Linked DNA regions of Macaca mulatta. The protein of the gene in region 2 interacts with the protein of the main gene of each other region in a biochemical or structural test. Links are inferred from orthologs where the notes say so. Each region holds a gene or a part of one and is shown on either strand. Other genes may lie near its edges.

What was found. The genes of interacting proteins can lie anywhere in the genome.
Region 1: of the proteins of TRIM21 (region 2) and USP4, one has a biochemical effect on the other in vitro, tested with the Homo sapiens proteins (2 studies listed by BioGRID). The link is inferred for Macaca mulatta from reciprocal best matches to the Homo sapiens genes TRIM21 and USP4.
Region 3: the proteins of TRIM21 (region 2) and UBE2W are reported together in a solved structure, tested with the Homo sapiens proteins (2 studies listed by BioGRID, with this or other methods). The link is inferred for Macaca mulatta from reciprocal best matches to the Homo sapiens genes TRIM21 and UBE2W.

Annotation. Positions count from the first base shown.
Region 1 is NC_133407.1:112,777,118-112,782,572, forward strand, and holds the start of USP4 (ubiquitin carboxyl-terminal hydrolase 4), read right to left. Parts: upstream 3,455-5,455; 5' UTR 3,426-3,454; coding exon 3,325-3,425; intron 1-3,324.
Region 2 is NC_133419.1:71,425,800-71,431,450, forward strand, and holds the start of TRIM21 (E3 ubiquitin-protein ligase TRIM21), read left to right. Parts: upstream 1-2,276; 5' UTR 2,277-2,286; intron 2,287-5,651. UniProt on the Homo sapiens protein: E3 ubiquitin-protein ligase whose activity is dependent on E2 enzymes, UBE2D1, UBE2D2, UBE2E1 and UBE2E2.
Region 3 is NC_133413.1:84,449,734-84,455,473, forward strand, and holds the start of UBE2W (ubiquitin-conjugating enzyme E2 W), read right to left. Parts: upstream 3,455-5,740; coding exon 3,440-3,454; exon of another isoform or gene 2,170-3,439; intron 1-2,169. UniProt on the Homo sapiens protein: Accepts ubiquitin from the E1 complex and catalyzes its covalent attachment to other proteins.

The DNA of each region.
Region 1 (5,455 bases), on a different chromosome or scaffold from region 2:
GATCACGCCATTGCATTCTAGCCTGGCTGACAGGAATAAAAACCTGTCTCAAAAAAAAAAGTATATAACATGCGTGTACATATATAAATATACACATACACATGTACATATAATAGCACTTAGGTATGTTCATCTTGTCAAAAAGCATTAAGTTGTGCTTCATATTCAACTTACCACTTTTTTACTTAAATGTAAGCAAATGTGGTATTTTATTTATCTATTTATTTCCTTAGAGAGAGGGTCACCCAGGCTAGAGTGCAGTGGCACAATCATAGCTCTCTGTAGCCTCAAACTCCTGGGCTCAAGTGATCCTCCTGCCTCAGCCTCTGAGTAGCTATGACTATAGGTACATACCACCATGCCTGGCTAATTTATTTTTTTATTTTTATTTTGTAGAGGCTAGGTCTTGCTATGTTGCCCAGGCTGATCTTGAACTCCTGGCCTCAAGTGATCTTCCTGCTTCAGCCTCCCAAAGTGCTGGGATTACAGACATGAGACATTGTGCCAGACCTATTTATATTTTTAAAGTATCACTATGCTGGCTGGGAGAGGTGGCTCATGTCTGTAATCCCAACACTTTGGGAGGCTGAGGCAGGTGGATCACGAGGTCAGGAGATCAAGACCATCCTGGCCAACATGGTGAAACCCCGTCTCTACTAAAAACACAAAAATTAGCCGGGCGCGGTGGCTCAAGCCTGTAATCCCAGCACTTTGGGAGGCTGAGACGGGCGGATCACAAGGTCAGGAGATCGAGACCATCCTGGCTAACACGGTGAAACCCCGTCTCTACTAAAAAATACAAAAAGCTAGCCGGGCGAGGTGGCGGGCGCCTGTAGTCCCAGCTACTCGGGAGGCTGAGGCAGGAGAATGGCGTGAACCCGGGAGGCGGAGCTTGCAGTGAGCTGAGATCCGGCCACTGCACTCCAGCCTGGGCTACAGAGCAAGACTCCGTCTCAAAAAAAAAAAAAAATAAATAAATAAATAAATAAAAACACAAAAATTAGCCGGGCGTGGTGGTGCCTGCCTATAATCTCAGTTACTAGGGAGGCTGAAGCAGGAGAATCGCTTGAACCCGGAAGGCAGAGATTGCAGTGAGCTGAGATCATGCCACTGTACTCCTCCAGCCTGGCAACACAGCGAGACTCCGTCTCAAAAAAAAAAAAAAAAAAAAGTATCACTCTGGGGTTTTACAATTAAAACAGAATCTCTGTGGAGCAACAAAGCATCAACAATTATATTGGTGCATCCTTAAAACTGTATAACCAACAAATGTGAGAGGAGTTCAGGCAACTTCCCAGAGGTCACAAGGATCCATAAACACATCCGTCTCGAAAATGCTATTTTTCTTCCAAATCCCTTGAGCAATACCTTCCATACAATTTTACTGTATGATTTTAGTCTTAAACTTCCTCTGCTTCTGCTGAGTATTCTTTATGAGCCCTATACAGGTTAACTTGAGAAGTACCTCTGCTAGGCCAGGCGTGGTAGCTCTAGCCTATAATCCCAGCACTTTGGGAGGCCAAGGCGGGTGAATCACTTGAGGTCGGGAGTTTGAGACAAGCCTGACCAAAATGGAGAAACCCTGTCTCTACTAAAAATACAAAAAAAAATTAGCCGGGCATAGTGGCGCATGCCTGTAATCCTAGCTACTGGGGAGGCTGAGGCAGGAGAATCACTTGAACCCTGGAGGCACAGGTTGCCGTGAGCCGAGATCACGCCATTGCACGCCAGCCTGGGCAACAAGAGCGAAATTCCTCAAAAAAAAAAAAAAAAAAAAAAAAAAAACCCACAAAAAAAGTACCTGTTTACTCTGACTTTCACAAACTGGCTAGCTCAAGGTGAATACATAAGCTGTTATCTGTACTCCTCATAACCCCAATTTTTCTATCCTCCAGCTCAATTCCTCTGTAGGTCATCACCACAATGGTTTCTTTTTTTTTTTTTTTTTTTTTGAGACGGAGTCTCGCTCTGTCGCCGGGGCTGGAGCGCAGTGGCGGGATCTCAGCTCACTGCAAGCTCCGCCTCCCGGGTTTACGCCATTCTCCTGCCTCAGCCTCCTGTGTAGCTGGGACTACAGGCGCCCGCCACCTCGCCCGGCTAGTTTTTTGTATTTTTTTAGTAGAGACGGGGTTTCACCATGTTAGCCAGGATGGTCTCGATCTCCTGACCTCGTGATCCGCCCGTCTCGGCCTCCCAAAGTGCTGGGATTACAGGCTTGAGCCACCGCGCCCGGCCCACAATGGTTTCTTAAAGATGGGTAACACTCGGGCCGGGCACGGTGGCTCCCACCTGTAATGGGAGGCAGAGGCGGCTGGATCACAAGGTCAGGAGTTCGAGACCAGCCTGCTCAGCATGGTGAAACCCAGTCTGTACTAAAAATACAAAAAATTAGCTGGGCATGGTGGTGTGAGCCTGTAATCCCAGCTACTCGGGAGGCTGAGGCAGGAGAATCGCTTGAACCCGGGAGGCGGAAGTTGCCGTGAGCCGAGATGGCGCCACTGCACTCCAGCTTGGGCAATAACAGTGAAACTCTGTCTCAAAAAATCAAACAAACAAAAAAACAAGATGGGTAACACTCAATCATACTAAATGCAAAGTCTAGCCTTAGTTTTTGTACTACACAATAATACCACCCAGGAATCTCTCCAGTAGTACAAAGTATTGTCCCCTCCACCAAACAATCTGTTAAGATGTCCAATAACTCAGCCTGGGTCTTCTAAATTCTGGACTCCTCATCTTCTATCTAGCTCCAGGACCTAGGCTATCCCCCTCTCCCACTCCGAGATACTGCTGTCACAAATATTTTTGACACTTGCTACCAAAATAATCTGGGGCTCTCAGACATTTGTTCAGCTTCTGACCTTGACATCTGTTGGCAGTTTACAAGTTACAAAGTACTTCTGATTTTCGCCTCAACCCACTGAGGGCGGAGAGCCAAATATTGCTATCCTGGTTTTAACAGTGAGGAATCCAGGTCTGTGACACCTTCGCCCAAGGTCACACGGCGAGTCCTCATGGTAAAGGGCTCTCCCCACCCTCAGGGTCCCCGCCAACATTCCCCTTCTCCACATCCATCCCCCTAGCCCCCGCCGGGCCCACCCACTGGGGCTCCAAATGAGCCGAGGCGACCCTCAGGCCCCGCCTGCGCTTTCCCAGAGCTGATCCTGGAGTTCTCCCGAGGGGCAGGTGTCAGGCTACTCTTCCAGGGTCACTACATACCATCCCCGCCCAGCCCCTACTGTAGCCGAGAAAAAGGGGGCTGGCCTAAGGGCCAGATACTCGGCCCCTGGTTCTGCACAGAGGAAGAGAGAGCCGGATGCTCACCACTGCGCGCCGCGTTGGAGTGTGGTCCTCATTAAGGCTCCAAGCTCCGACTTCTGAGTCTCCGCATCCGGTCGCTCACCGAAGCCTCCACCTTCCGCCATCTCGTCCGCGGCCCCGGCCCAGCCGGCCCGGACATCCGCCCCGCGCGCGGCGTGCTATAGACCGCGCCCACGCACGCACGCACGCACGCTCGCGTGCCCGCCCCTGCCCCACCTCGTGCCGCGGCCTTCGGCTCCTGCAGCCGCTGTCTTTTATCCCCTCCAGTCTCGCGCCACTTCGCTCACCGGCAAACAGTGGAGCGAAAAGGCAGATGCGAGAGGGGTGGGTGGGGAGCAGCAGCTGCTACTTCGTCCCGCCCTGCCGCCTGCTACGCGGTCGTCGGGCGCCCCTTCCTCTGCTCAGGATGGCGCTACAGGATGAAGCTCTGTTCAGCCCGCCGATCTCAGGGAGTCAGACAGCAAGCCCACGACCCATGGGGCACCCTAGCCCGGCCTTCGAGGTTATCCTGGTCCTAAATAAATGCAGGCCAGGTGCGAGAAGCCCCGTAGTTAGGTCTGTTCATTCTCACCCCTGCCATTCCGCTTTCAGCTGGAGGCCTTAGGCGAGTCAGCTGCCCAAACGTGGGATCCGGGCTCCTGCTCCAGCGGCCCTAACAGGGATTTCGGGAAGTACCACGTGCATCAGCGCCTTGGGACTAAGACTGAACGGTGTGCTGTAGTTATTAACAGTCGCCTTAAACAATCTGGACGCCAGAGCCACCTGGCCCACCTGAGAATTCCGTCAGCTCTTCATACTGAGCTACTTGCCAAGCAGCCACAGAGGGGCGATAGCAACAGGGGAAGGAGAGGTATTCCACATTAGTTACCCAGGCATGTACTTAGTTCCTGGAACAAGATACAACGTCCTGAACACTGTGTTTTCCAGTCGCCCCGCTCACACAAACACACAACCCTCTTCCTGGAGGGAGAAATAAACCCAGAGGAAAGAGGAAGTCAGGTCTAGATGAGTCTCCATACACTTGTCTAACAGTTCTTGTCCTCAGAGAAAAATAAGACCTAGTTCCTGCCCTCATAGAATCTAGTGGAAGAGTAGAGATGTTTCAGAAATAACCTCAATGCCTAGCAGTATGTGGTAAGTGCAATTAAAGGGTGTGAACCAGGCCAGGTGCAGTGGTTCAAGCCTGTCGTCCCAGCACTTTGGAAGGCTGAGGCGGGAGGATAGCTTTAGCCCAGGAGTTAGAGACCAGCCTCCGCAACATGGCGAAATCCTGTCTCTACAAAAATTAGCCGGGAGGTGGCGCGCGTCTGTGGTCCCAGGTACTCGGGAGGCTGAGGTAGAAGGATCCCTTGAGCCCAGGAGGTCGAAGTTGCAGTGAGTCGAGATGGTGCCACTTCTCTCGAGACTGGACGGCAAAGTGAGACCCTGTCTCAAAAAAACAGTAAATACAAATAAGGGGTGTGAACCGGCCAGGCGCGGTGGCTCACGCCTGTTATCCTAGCACTTTGGGAGGCCGAGGCAGGCAGATCACCTGAGGTCGGGAGTTCGAGACCAGCCTGACCAACGTGGAGACGGAAATGTCCTCTCAAAAAAAAAAAAGTGCTGGGCGCCCGGCAGGGCAGTTCATGCTTGTAATCCCAGGACTTTGGGAGGCCATGGCGGGCAGATCACGAGGTTAGGAGTTCGAGACCAGCATGGCTAATATGGTGAAACCCCATCTCTACCAAAAATACAAAAAAAAGTTAGCCAGGCGTGGTGGCGCATGTCTATAGTCTGAGCTACTCGGGAGGCAGAGGCAGAAGAATTGCTTGAACCCAGGAGGCGGAGGTTGCAGTGAGCCAAGATTGCACCACTGTACTCCAGCCTGAGCGACAGAGTGAGACCCCCTCTAAAAGAAAAAAACAAAAAAGGCCGGGCGCGGTGGCTCAAGCCTGTAATCCCAGCACTTTGGGAGGCCGAGATGGGCGGATCACGAGGTCGGGAGATCGAGACCATCCTGGCGAACACGGTGAAACCCCGTCTCTACTAAAAAAATACAAAAAACTAGCCGGGCGAGGTGGCGGGCGCCTGTAGTCCCAGCTACTCCGGAGGCTGAGGCAGGAGAATGGCGTAAACCCGGGAGGCGGAGCTTGCA
Region 2 (5,651 bases):
CTTGTTTTCCCTTTGCCTTCTACCATGATTGTAACTTTCTTATGGCCTCCCAGTCATGCTTCCTGTTAAGTCTGTTGGACTGTGAGTCAAACCTCTTCTTAAATTACCCAGTCTCAGATAGCACCTTATAGCAATGTAAGGACAGACTGATACAATGGTCATACCAATTTGCATTTCATCAACAGCATACAAGGGTTTTCTTTTCTCCTTTACTTGGCCTACAGAAAGACTTAGACAACCACAAAATAATAGTGGGAGATTTCAACACCCCACCAATAGCATTAGACAGATCATTGAGACAGAAACTAACAAACTCTGGACTTAAACTCAACACTCAGAAAACTGGACCTAATAGACATCTACAGAACACCCCATAACCATGGAATATGTTCTTCTCATCTGCACATGGACCATATTCTGAGATTAACCACATACTTGGTCATGAAGCAAGTCTCAAGTTCAAAAAAAATGAAATCATACCAAGCACACCCTTGGATCACAGGTCAATAAAAATGGAAACCAATATCAAAAAGCTCTCTCAACTACACAAATGCATGGAAACTAAACAACTTACTCCTAAATAACTTCTAAGCAAACATCTAAATTAAGGCAGAAACTTAAAATTCTTTGAAATTAACAAAGATGGAGATACAATTTACCAAAATCTCTAAGATGCAGCCAAAGCAGTAAGAGAAAAGTTTATAGCCCTAAATACCTTCATCAAGAAGTTGCAAAGGGCTCAAATTAACAATCTAACTTTGTACCTTAAAAGGACTAGGAAAAAAATTCCCAGTGCCAGCAGAAGAAAAACATTAGAGAAAAACCTAATGAAATTAAGATACAAAAAATCCAAACAAAAGGTCGATAAACCCAAGAATTCTTTGGGGGGGAAATAAACCACAACTAATAGACCCTTAACTAGATTGAGATCCAAATAAGCATAATGAAATAACAAAGATAATATTACAACTGATCCCAAAGAAATGCAGAAGATCCCCAGAGACTACTATGAATGTCTTTAAGCACACAAATTAGAAAATTCACAGTGAATCAAGAGATTGAAACCCTGAAAAGCTTCAGAAATTGAATCAGTAGTAAAGAAGTTCTTAATCAATGTTAATGTCCAAGATATGATTTACGGCCCAAAGTGTGGTCTACTTGGTGAATATTCTACTTGGTTTACTTAAAGAATGTATATTCTACTGTTTAAATATATTGTGTGCATTTCGATTGAATACTGTTGGTTAAAATATGTTCAGTGTTAACTGGCTTTTCTATTTTTTCCCCATACCCTTATCTGCTGGATGCATTACTGATGGAGAAAGGCATTAATCTCAACCTTTAATAATGGATTTACCTATTTCTTTCAGTTCAGTTTTTTGCCTCACATATCTTGATCTATTGTGGGTACATACACACTAAAAATTCGTCTTTTCATAGACTTGACATCATTATCATACATTCCCTTTTATGCATAATAATATTGCTTTCTCTGGAGTTTGCTTTGACTGTAGTTGATATAGCTATTCCAGGTTAATTCTTTTAATTTTTAATTTTTGTGTGTACATAGTAGGTACATTTTAATGAGGTAAATAAGATGTTTTGATACAGATATGCAATACATAACACTCACATCATGGAGAGTGGGGTATCCAATCCCTCAAGCATTTATCCTTTGTGTTAAACAATTCAATTACTTAGTTACTTTGAAATGTGCTGTAACATTATTGTTAACTCGTCACCCTGTTGTGCTATTAAATAATAGATTTTATTCATTCTATTTTTTTACCCATTCACCATCCCCACCTTACCCCTCCTGTAACCTTCCCAATGCCACAGATAATTAAGAACATACAATATTTGTTTTTCTGTGCCTGTGCTACTTCACTTAACATTTTCATTTCCATCTATGTTGTTGCAAATGACAGGATCTCATTCTTATACACAATGGACCACTATTCATTTATATGTGCCACATTTATTTTATTCATCTGTTGATGGACACTTAGGTTGCTTCTAAATCTTTGCTATTGTGAACAGTGCTTCAAGAAAAATGCGAATAAAAAAATTTCTTCAATATACTGATATCATTTCTTTTAGATATTGTATTAGTCCATTTTCACACTACCATAAAGAATACCTGAGACTGAGTAATTTATAAAGGAAAGAAGTTTAATCGATTTAAAGTTCTGCGTGGCTGGGGAGGTCTCAGGAAACTTATGGCAGAAGGCAAGGGGGAAGCAGGCACCTTCTTCACAAAGCAGCAGAAGAACAGCAAGCAGGGGGAATTGCCAAATGCTTTTAAATCATCAGATTTCATGAGAACTCCCTCATTATCATGAGAACAGCATGAGGGAAACTGCCCTCATGATCCAACTGCCTCCCACTAGATTCTTCCCCAACATGTGGGGATTACAAATCAAGATGAGATTTGGGTGGAGACACAGCAAAATTACATCAACTATATACCCAGCAGTGGATTGCTGGACCATATGGTAGCTCTATTTTTAGTTTTTTGAAGAACCTCCAAACTGTTCTCCAGAATGGCTGTACTAATTTACATTTCCATCAACAGTGAATGAGGGTTCTCTTTTCTTGACATCCTCGCCAGCATTTGTTAGTGCCTGTCTTTTTTATATAAGACATTTTAACTGGGATGAGATTTATAGTTTTGATTTTCATTGCTCTGATCAGTAATGTTTAATGCCTTTTCATGCCTGTTTGCCATTTGTATGTCATCTTTTGAGAAATGTCTATTCAAATATTTTGCCCTTTTTTGGTTCAGATTACTAGGTTTTATTTCATATAGAGTTTGAGCTCTTTATTCTGGCTATTAATCGGATACATCATTAGATTTTTTTTAAAAGTTTTTCATCTTTTTTGATGTATGCAGTTACATCTATAAACTTCCCTCTTGCTGCTTTCACTATATCCTGTGAATTTTGGTATGTTGTTTCTATTTGTTTCAAGAAACTTTTCAATTTAATTTTTTCGTTGACCACTGGTCATTCAGGAGTGTATTGTTTAATTTCCATGTAGTTGTATAGTTTCCAAAATTCTTATTATTAACTTATAGTTTTAGTTCACTGCTGTCAGAGAAGATGCTTGACATTTGTACTGGTCAGGGTTCTCTAGAGAGACAGAACTAGTAGGATAGGTGTCTATATGAAAGGGAGTCTATTAAGGAGTATTAACTCACATGATCACAAGGTGAAGTCCCACAATAGACTGTCTGCAAGCTGAGGATCAAGGAAACCAGTCCAAGTCCCCAAACCTTAAAAGGAGGGAAACTGACAGTACAGTCTTCAGTCTGTGGCTGAAGGTCCCTAGTAAATCACTGGTGTAAGTCTAAGAGTCCAAAAGCTGAAGAACTTGGAGTCTGATGTTTGAGGGCAGGAAGAAGCACAGGAGAAAGATAATATCTGGAAGACTCAGCAAGTCTGCTTTATTCTAGCCACACTGGCAGTTGATTAGATGGTGCCCACTCACATTGAGAGTGGTTCTGCCTTTCCAAGTCCACTGACTCAAATGTTAATCTCCTTCAGCAACACCCTCACAGACACACCCAGGAACAATACTTTGCATCCTTCAATACAATCAAGTTGACATTTGTTAACTATCACAACATTATTTCAACTTTTTGAATGTGTTAGCACCTGTTTTGTAACCTAACATACGGTCTATCCTGGAATAATCCATGTGCTGAGGAAAAGAATGTGTATTTTGTAGTAACTGCACAAAATGTTCTCTAAATGTTCTCTATTAGGTCCATTTGGTCTATAGTGCAGATCGAGTCCAGTATTTCTTTTTCTGTCTGGAAGATTTGTCCAATGCTGAAAGTGGGGTGAAGTCTCCAGCTATTATTGTATTGGGGCCTACCTTCTTTAGCTCTAATATTTGCTCTATGTATCTGAGTCCTTCAGTGTTGGGTGCATATATATTTAAAATTGTTGTAACCTCTTGCACAACTTGACCTCCTTATCATTACATAGCAACCTTTGCCTCTTAGTTTTCATCTTAATCTACTTTGTCTGATGTAACTATTCTCATTCTTTTTTGGTATCTATTGGCATGGAATATTTCTCTTCATCTCTGTATTTTCAGTCTGTCTTTATAGATGAAGTGTTTCTTCTAGGCGACAGATCACTAGGTCTTGTTTTTATCATCCATTCAGCCACTCTTTTGACTAGAGAGTTTAGTCCATTTATGTTTAATGCTACTGATAAGTAAGGACGTAACTCCATCTTGCTGTTTTCTTGTTGTACAGTCTTCTCTTCCTCCTTTCCTTCCTGTCTCACTTTAGTGAAGGTAATTTTTTTTTTTTGAGGTGGAGTCTTGCTCTGTTGTCCAGGCTGGAGTGCAGTGGCATGATCTTGGCTCACTGCAAACTCTGCTTTACAGGTTCAAGCAGTTCTCCCACCTCAGCCTCCCAAGTAGCTGGGATTACAGGTGCCTGCCACCACGCCTGGCTACTTTTGTATTTTTACTAGACATAGGGTTTCACCATGTTGGCCAGGCTGGTCTCGAATTCCTGACCTCAGGTGATCCACCCACCTTGGCCTCTCACAGTGCTAGGATTACAGCCATGAGCTACCATGCCTGGCCAGGAATTTTTTTTCCTCTGGTAATATGACTAATTTATTGTTTTTTGTGTATCTATTGTAGGATTTTGGTTTGAAAGTACCATGAGGCTTCAAATACTATCTTTACAACCCATTTTTTATGCCAATTATATCTTAATCCTGTTCACATAAATAAGAAAAAACTAAAACTAAAACTTTGTTCCTGTGTTAGTCTGTTCTCACACTGCTAATAAAGACATACCTAAGACTGGGTAACTTATAAGGAAAAAAAAAAGGTTTAATGGACTCACAGTTCCATATGGTTGTAGAAGTCTCACAATCATGATGGAAGGCAAAGAAGGAGCAAAGGCACATTGTACATGGCAGCAGGCAAGAGAGAATGTGCAGGAGAACTGCCCTTTATAAAACCATCAAATCTCATGAGACATTCACTATCACAAGAACAGCATGGGAAAAACCTACCCACCCCCATGATTTAATTACCTCCCACAACATATGGGGATTATGGGAGCTACAATTGAAGATGAGATTTGGGTGGAGACACAGCTAGACCATATAATCTCCTGACTTTTTAATGTTTTATTTCTATCTTATTGTACTATTTCTTAAAGATGTTATTTTTGATCATCTTTTAGTCCTTCTACTTAGCATAAGAGTAGTCTCCACATCAGTTAGTATAATTATATTCTTTGTTTTTCTATGTACTTACTATTACCAGTGAGCAGATAATTTCTTCTTGCTCATTAACATCTTTCCTTTCTGATTGAAGTATTATTCTAGCATTTCTTGTAAGACAAGTCTGGTGTTGATTAAATCCTTCAGCTTTTGTTTGGGAAATTCTTATCTCTTTTTGACATTTGAAGAATATTTTTGTCAGGTATATTCTGGAATAAGTCTCTTTTCCTTCAGCTCTTTAAATATGTTTTGGTCTGTATGGTTTCCACTAAAAAGTCTGCTGCCAGATATATGAAAGCTCCATTGTATACTTTCTCAGGGACTAGAGTCAAAAACCTTAGTCTACCCAGCATTCTAATTGTACTGCAACTGGGCTGGCACCAAAAACAGAAG
Region 3 (5,740 bases), on a different chromosome or scaffold from region 2:
GACAGAATACATTAAAGCAGTTACTAGCTCAACTTTAAATACATACTCTCCAAAAGAAATTCAAAGTCTTACTTGTTTTACTGCATTGATCCTAAAGACTATTTAATTTTTATCAGGTAATGAAATCCCATGTTACATGTGTATAACATGGCATAAAAAAAAATACAGTTCCTCTTACAGCTTAAGTAACTTCTTCAGCAGCAGCAACACCTGGTGTGGGTAAGATAAAGAAATCTACTAAAAGCTTTTTGAGTAAGGACATGGTCATTCCATGTTACAGTTTATTTTTTCCTAATCGAAATCCCCAAATGATCAATTTCCTAGCCTTCCATGTTTTTTCTCCACTGCACTATCACCTTCTAATATAGTAACACACTTGGCCAGGTGCAGTGGCTCCCACCTGTAATCCTAGCACTTTGGGAGGCCGAAGCGAGAGGATCACTTGAGGTCAGGAGTTCAAGACCAGCCTGGCCAGCATAGCGAAACCCAGTCTCCACGAAAAACACAAAAAAATTACCTGGTCGTGGTGGCCAGCACCCGTAATCCCAGCTACTCAGGAGGCTAAGTAGGAGAATTGCTAGAACCCTGGGAGCAGAGGTTGCAGCGAGCCGTGATTGCACCACTACACTCCAGAATGGGCGACACAGTGAGACTCCATCTCAACACAAAAAACAAAAAACAATTAACTTAAATATGCTGTTATTATCTGTCTCTTCTTACCAGACTATTTATTATTAAATCCATGAGGGCAAAAATCTTGTTCGCTTTTGTTCATTGCTATAACCGCGGCACCTAGATAAGTGTCTGACACACAGAGGGCCCCCAAAAGGTAACTGGCTCAGTGATTAAACAAATTTGATAATTTGATTGAAGATTTATGTATAATCTAGTTGTCTTAAAAGAGCCAGATGTTGCCATTAAGATAGGATATAAATTCTGTACAACAAAGATACAGAATAACCACACAGAAAGTAGGGCTGTCTTTCAAAAAGCCTGACTTATACATATTTAAATATTCTTAAAGATACTACCAGAAAATCTGCACTAGATATTTTAAAATACAAACAAAAGGAAAAGACTTTTTACTTTAATAAAAAGAGTTAAGCATCCATTTTCCATTCCTCTAACCAGAAAACACAGAAGAATAGAGAGTGATAAGATTTAGATGGAATAAGGTGAAGGAAAAACTTCAAAGAGTGGTAAGACAGTCTGAGGTAATACTTAGGGCACAGAAAAATGCACTATTGCACTATCAATCAAGTATTTGTTTCCATTGCTTAAGACATCATGTAGGCCGGGCACGGTGGCTCACACCTGTAATCCCAGCACTTTGGGAGGCTGAAGTGGGCGGATCACCTGAGGTCGGGGGTTCAAGTCCAGCTTGACCAACATGGAGAAACTCCTGTCTCTACTAAAAATACAAAATTAGCTGGGCGTGATGGCCAATGCCTGTAATCCCAGCCACTCGGGAGGCTGAGGCAGGAGAATCACTTGAACCCGGGAGGCGGAGGCTGCGGTGAGCCGAGATCGCCCCCACTGCACTCCAGCCTGGACAACAAGAGCTAAACTCCGTCTCAAAAAAAAAAAAAAAAAAAAAAAAAAAAAGACACCATGTAAAGTTCAACATTACCAACCTTTCTCTTACAAACAAATCTGCCTTTTCCAGATACTAAATCTAACCAGATGGCACACTACGTTCTCTTGTCAAATATTATCACGAGTGTTGTGGATTTTAATCTTAATTTTTACTCTCAAATAATGTTTTAATCTTAATACAGATAATCTTAAACTTGTCATAAAAAATGTTTTAATCTTAACACAGATAAAAATCTTTAAGTGGTCATGTAGCCTATTGCATCTACTGTTCAACTAGCATTCCACAGTTCCTTTTCTTGGCCTCAAATGACGAAACTTCTCTAACGTCTCTGGGGGACTAGTGTAAAGTATAATGTTTCCTGAAATTGTTCCTGTTTTTTTCCCTGCACCATTCGTGACATCTCTTCAACTAGAAATGTTACATAAAACTTTTCTGTTCTGCAGGCAAGTCCAGAGGGAGAAGCAAAAGTAAAGAGAATATTGTAAGGAAAACAGGTTGAAAGGGGAATAACATAAAAGCACAGGAGTAAATGTGAAGCAAAGATATATTTGTACAAAAGAGGAAGAAGTTGCAGAAAAGGGAAGAAAAACACTTTTAGCAGAGAAAAGAAAAAAAAATGGAGGAGGAACAGAGACTTGCTTCTTTCAGAAACAAAAGCAAAAAACACTTCTAAGAAAACGTGGTCTCTTTACCCAAGGGGATATTATTAAAACGCTAAAGAGTATTCAGCTGACACTCCTATTGAGTGTTCTACTTTCTCTTCCAATGTCTTTGATACCGCTAGTCTTCACCTATGAATTAAATGCAGGCTATAGATAACGCAGCCAATCTCTACAAAACTACAATTGTGGTTGCCATCTTTGCCTGAAAACAAAAACACAAAAAACCCGCAACTCCCTGAATTCGGGAAAAAGGAGTAAATTAAGTTGGAAAGCCAGAAAACCACGCCTTGCTAAGTCGGGTGGATGTGGCACAGGTTAACAAACGCCTCCTACCAAACTAAGGTTCCACTAAAGGTCTGCGAATAAGGGCAAAGAGATGTATAGCCTTATCGCGACCGCAAGGGTGGGGCCTTGTAGGGGGAAACAAAATAAAGGGCGAGCTATCCCGAAAGGTTTCAGGGGGCTGAGGACTTGGCTCTCGGGAGATCGCCCATCAGGCAGTGGACTCGGGGCAGCTTCGAGAGGAGGAGACACTGGACTGCTGAAGTAATGTCCGCGAGAATGCCGAGGCTGATGGAAAGAGCGGATACCCACGGGCACAGGATTAAGAGTCAAAGGGAAGAAGAGAGAGACGGGGCCAAGCAGTCTGGGGGGCCCGGCGTGGGAGGCCGGAGCAGAGGCCGCTAAGCGCCGTCCGCAGCCAGTCGCCTTCTCCGGAGACGCCTTCTCGGCTCCCCCACACTCAGCCCCTCGCCGCCCCTGCCCCGGCAACAACCGCGGGCGCAGCTGTTTCCGTCGGGCCAGGGACAGCGGGGGTAAAGGCAACCCTGGGACTGGCGGGCAGCAGACTGGCAGTGGCCGTGTGTGTGTGTGTGTGTGCGCGGGGAGCCGATTCTGAGGCTGCCAACACCAGACTTCGCCCTTTCTCCCCCAAGCCTCCTTTATCACCCAACTTCCCGGCCGGCTGGTGTCCGCTTCGACCGACGGATACCGCACCCCCCCAACGCCTCTCGCCGCCTCTTACCCCTCCCCCGACGCCCTGAGCTGAAGGAAAACAAGCCACCCGGGCCGATCCCGAACCCGCCCGGGTGTCCCCGAATCGCGGACGCCACCCCCGCCCGAACGCTGGCACTCTCTCGGCGGCTCCCTGGCCCGCCCAGATGCAGCAAACTCCTCTCACCTGCATTGACGCCATGATGGAACCATCCCCCCAAGACCGGCGAGGCCAGAGACGCAGGGGGAGGAGCTGCCGTGCTCGCGTCACGCCGCGGGGGCTCAACATCCCGGGCGCGGAGGCGGGGCCTACGATGGGAAGGTGATGGCGCGAGGGGATTGGCTGGCGCGCAGGGCGGACGGGAGGAGGGGCTAGGGGGCGGGGCGAGGACGTGGTAAATGGCGCTCCGAGTACCTTCGGTCTCAGTCCGGTTCGCCGCTCCCGCGTCGGTCTTCCGTTTACTCTGGTTACTGAGGAGACACGGCTCCAGTTTTGACCCGGCTACGGTTGTTTTCTTCTTGTGTACCGCGTAATCCTGATGCCGTCCGGATCAGCTCAGATTTTTTTCTATTTCGTTTTGGTTTTCCAAACACAGCTGTGCGGTTCACAGATTTTTCTCTTGGGATGTGTTTTCCATACCGTCAAGCCCACTCTGAGAGCCTTGGGGCCCCATGAAACTTCCCGCGCAGCTGCTTTCTGGTCCTTGTAGACCTGGAAAGCTTCTTGTATTCTTAATCTGGGGAAGAGAGACATAGGTTTCCTTGTACAACAGGATGAGGATTAAAGAGCAAAACGACACTGATATTTTAAAGGCGAGGGTATTTAGATTTGTGGAGCTGAAACTTGCCTGAAAGGGGAGAGAAAATTTGGAAGTTTGTTGTGTACAGTTTCTGCCCCTTACCCCAGCCCTTCAGTTTTAAACTTCGCATGTATCAACAGTAGTTACGGTTGTTGCGGCAGTCTAAATTTGATTATCAGAATTGACCCTAGGCATGAATTTTTTAAAATATACTGAATTTTTAAAAATATACCAGTGTTGTGTTATATACACTTAGACCATTATGTCCAGACTTCTCTTAAGCCTATTTCGTGGTGGGCAGTTTTGTGGTCAGTTAGGGATGAACTTGGGTAGGGAAAGCTGAGCATACATAATTTATTTTAGGAATGCACCAGTTCTGCCAACATTTATCAGAAGTCACGTTTTAAAAAAGCTATTCTGGAACTGAAGATGTCATTGGTTTATAAGAGGAAAATGGAAGCCAAAAGCTTGCACCTCATGCTCTATCTTTAAAAATTAAGGTGGCAGACACAATGAGTAGAAGGCTTTTATGTTACCAGAATGAAGGCTTAAAATCTGTCATTTTATTGACTCGGCTTTCTTTTTAGAAATTTCTTTAAGATATAAAAGCAATGCAGAATATCACTGTTTCACACTCTTAAAATAGATTACGTTCTCTGGAACTTCTCTAATCTGAAATGTGTTCAAAAAGGAAAAAGATCTTTAAAATACGCCAGTTAGTCTATGGCATAATATTAAACACTACTCATCACTAGAGAAGTTACGGTGGTATACCCTCCCCTCTCTCAGATGTCCACCCTAATGCCAGAAATGAGCGGAGTTTCCCTTTGTTGTGCAAAATGACTGTGTCCTTGAGGGATGTTTGGATGCTCTTGGTAAACCGGAATCAACCAGAAGCATATCCGGTGTTAGCCCTGTTGTGTCATCAACATTACAACAGTGAGGAAACCCACGTATCCCAATGAAGGAGGAAAACTTAAAGAAGTTTCCAGTATATTTTCTTTGAGATGTCTTTATTTCTGTGACCTCAGAAGATCAGGTTTTACTGTCCAAGGTTCACTTTGCCTAAAAGCTGATTGTTCCTATGGAAAAAGTAGTGTCGGATGACCCTACAAACAAAGCATTATGACATCGTCAGAGCCAACAACCTACCATGACAGATACTAATGAGGAAAAAAGAGGTTACAAGAATTCTGACACTCATCACAGTGGAACCAGTATCTGGTCCCTTGGGTTTCATATATGTTAGAAGTATCTTCACAGGAGGGAAAGGTCAATGCCAGTAATCCTTTCTAGGTAATACTAAATAGCACATAATAACCTGTCTTCTTTTTTTTTTTTTTTTTTGAGACGGAGTCTCACTCTGTCACCCAGGCTGGAGTGCAATGGCGCGATCTTGGCTCACTGCAACCTCCGCCTCCCAGGTTCAAGTGATTCTCCTCTCTCAGCCTCCCAAGTAGGTGGGATTACAGGTACACACCACCATGCCCAGCTAATTTTTTGTAATTTTTTGTATCTTTAGTAGAGATGAGGTTTCACCATGTTGGCCAGCCTGGTCTTGAACTTCTGACCTCGTAATCCACCTGCCTCAGCCTCCCAAAGGGCTGGGATTACAGGTGTGAACCACTGCGCCCAGCCATTCTTTTGTTAATATTTAATAAAAAGATCCTGACATAGGAGCCAAAACA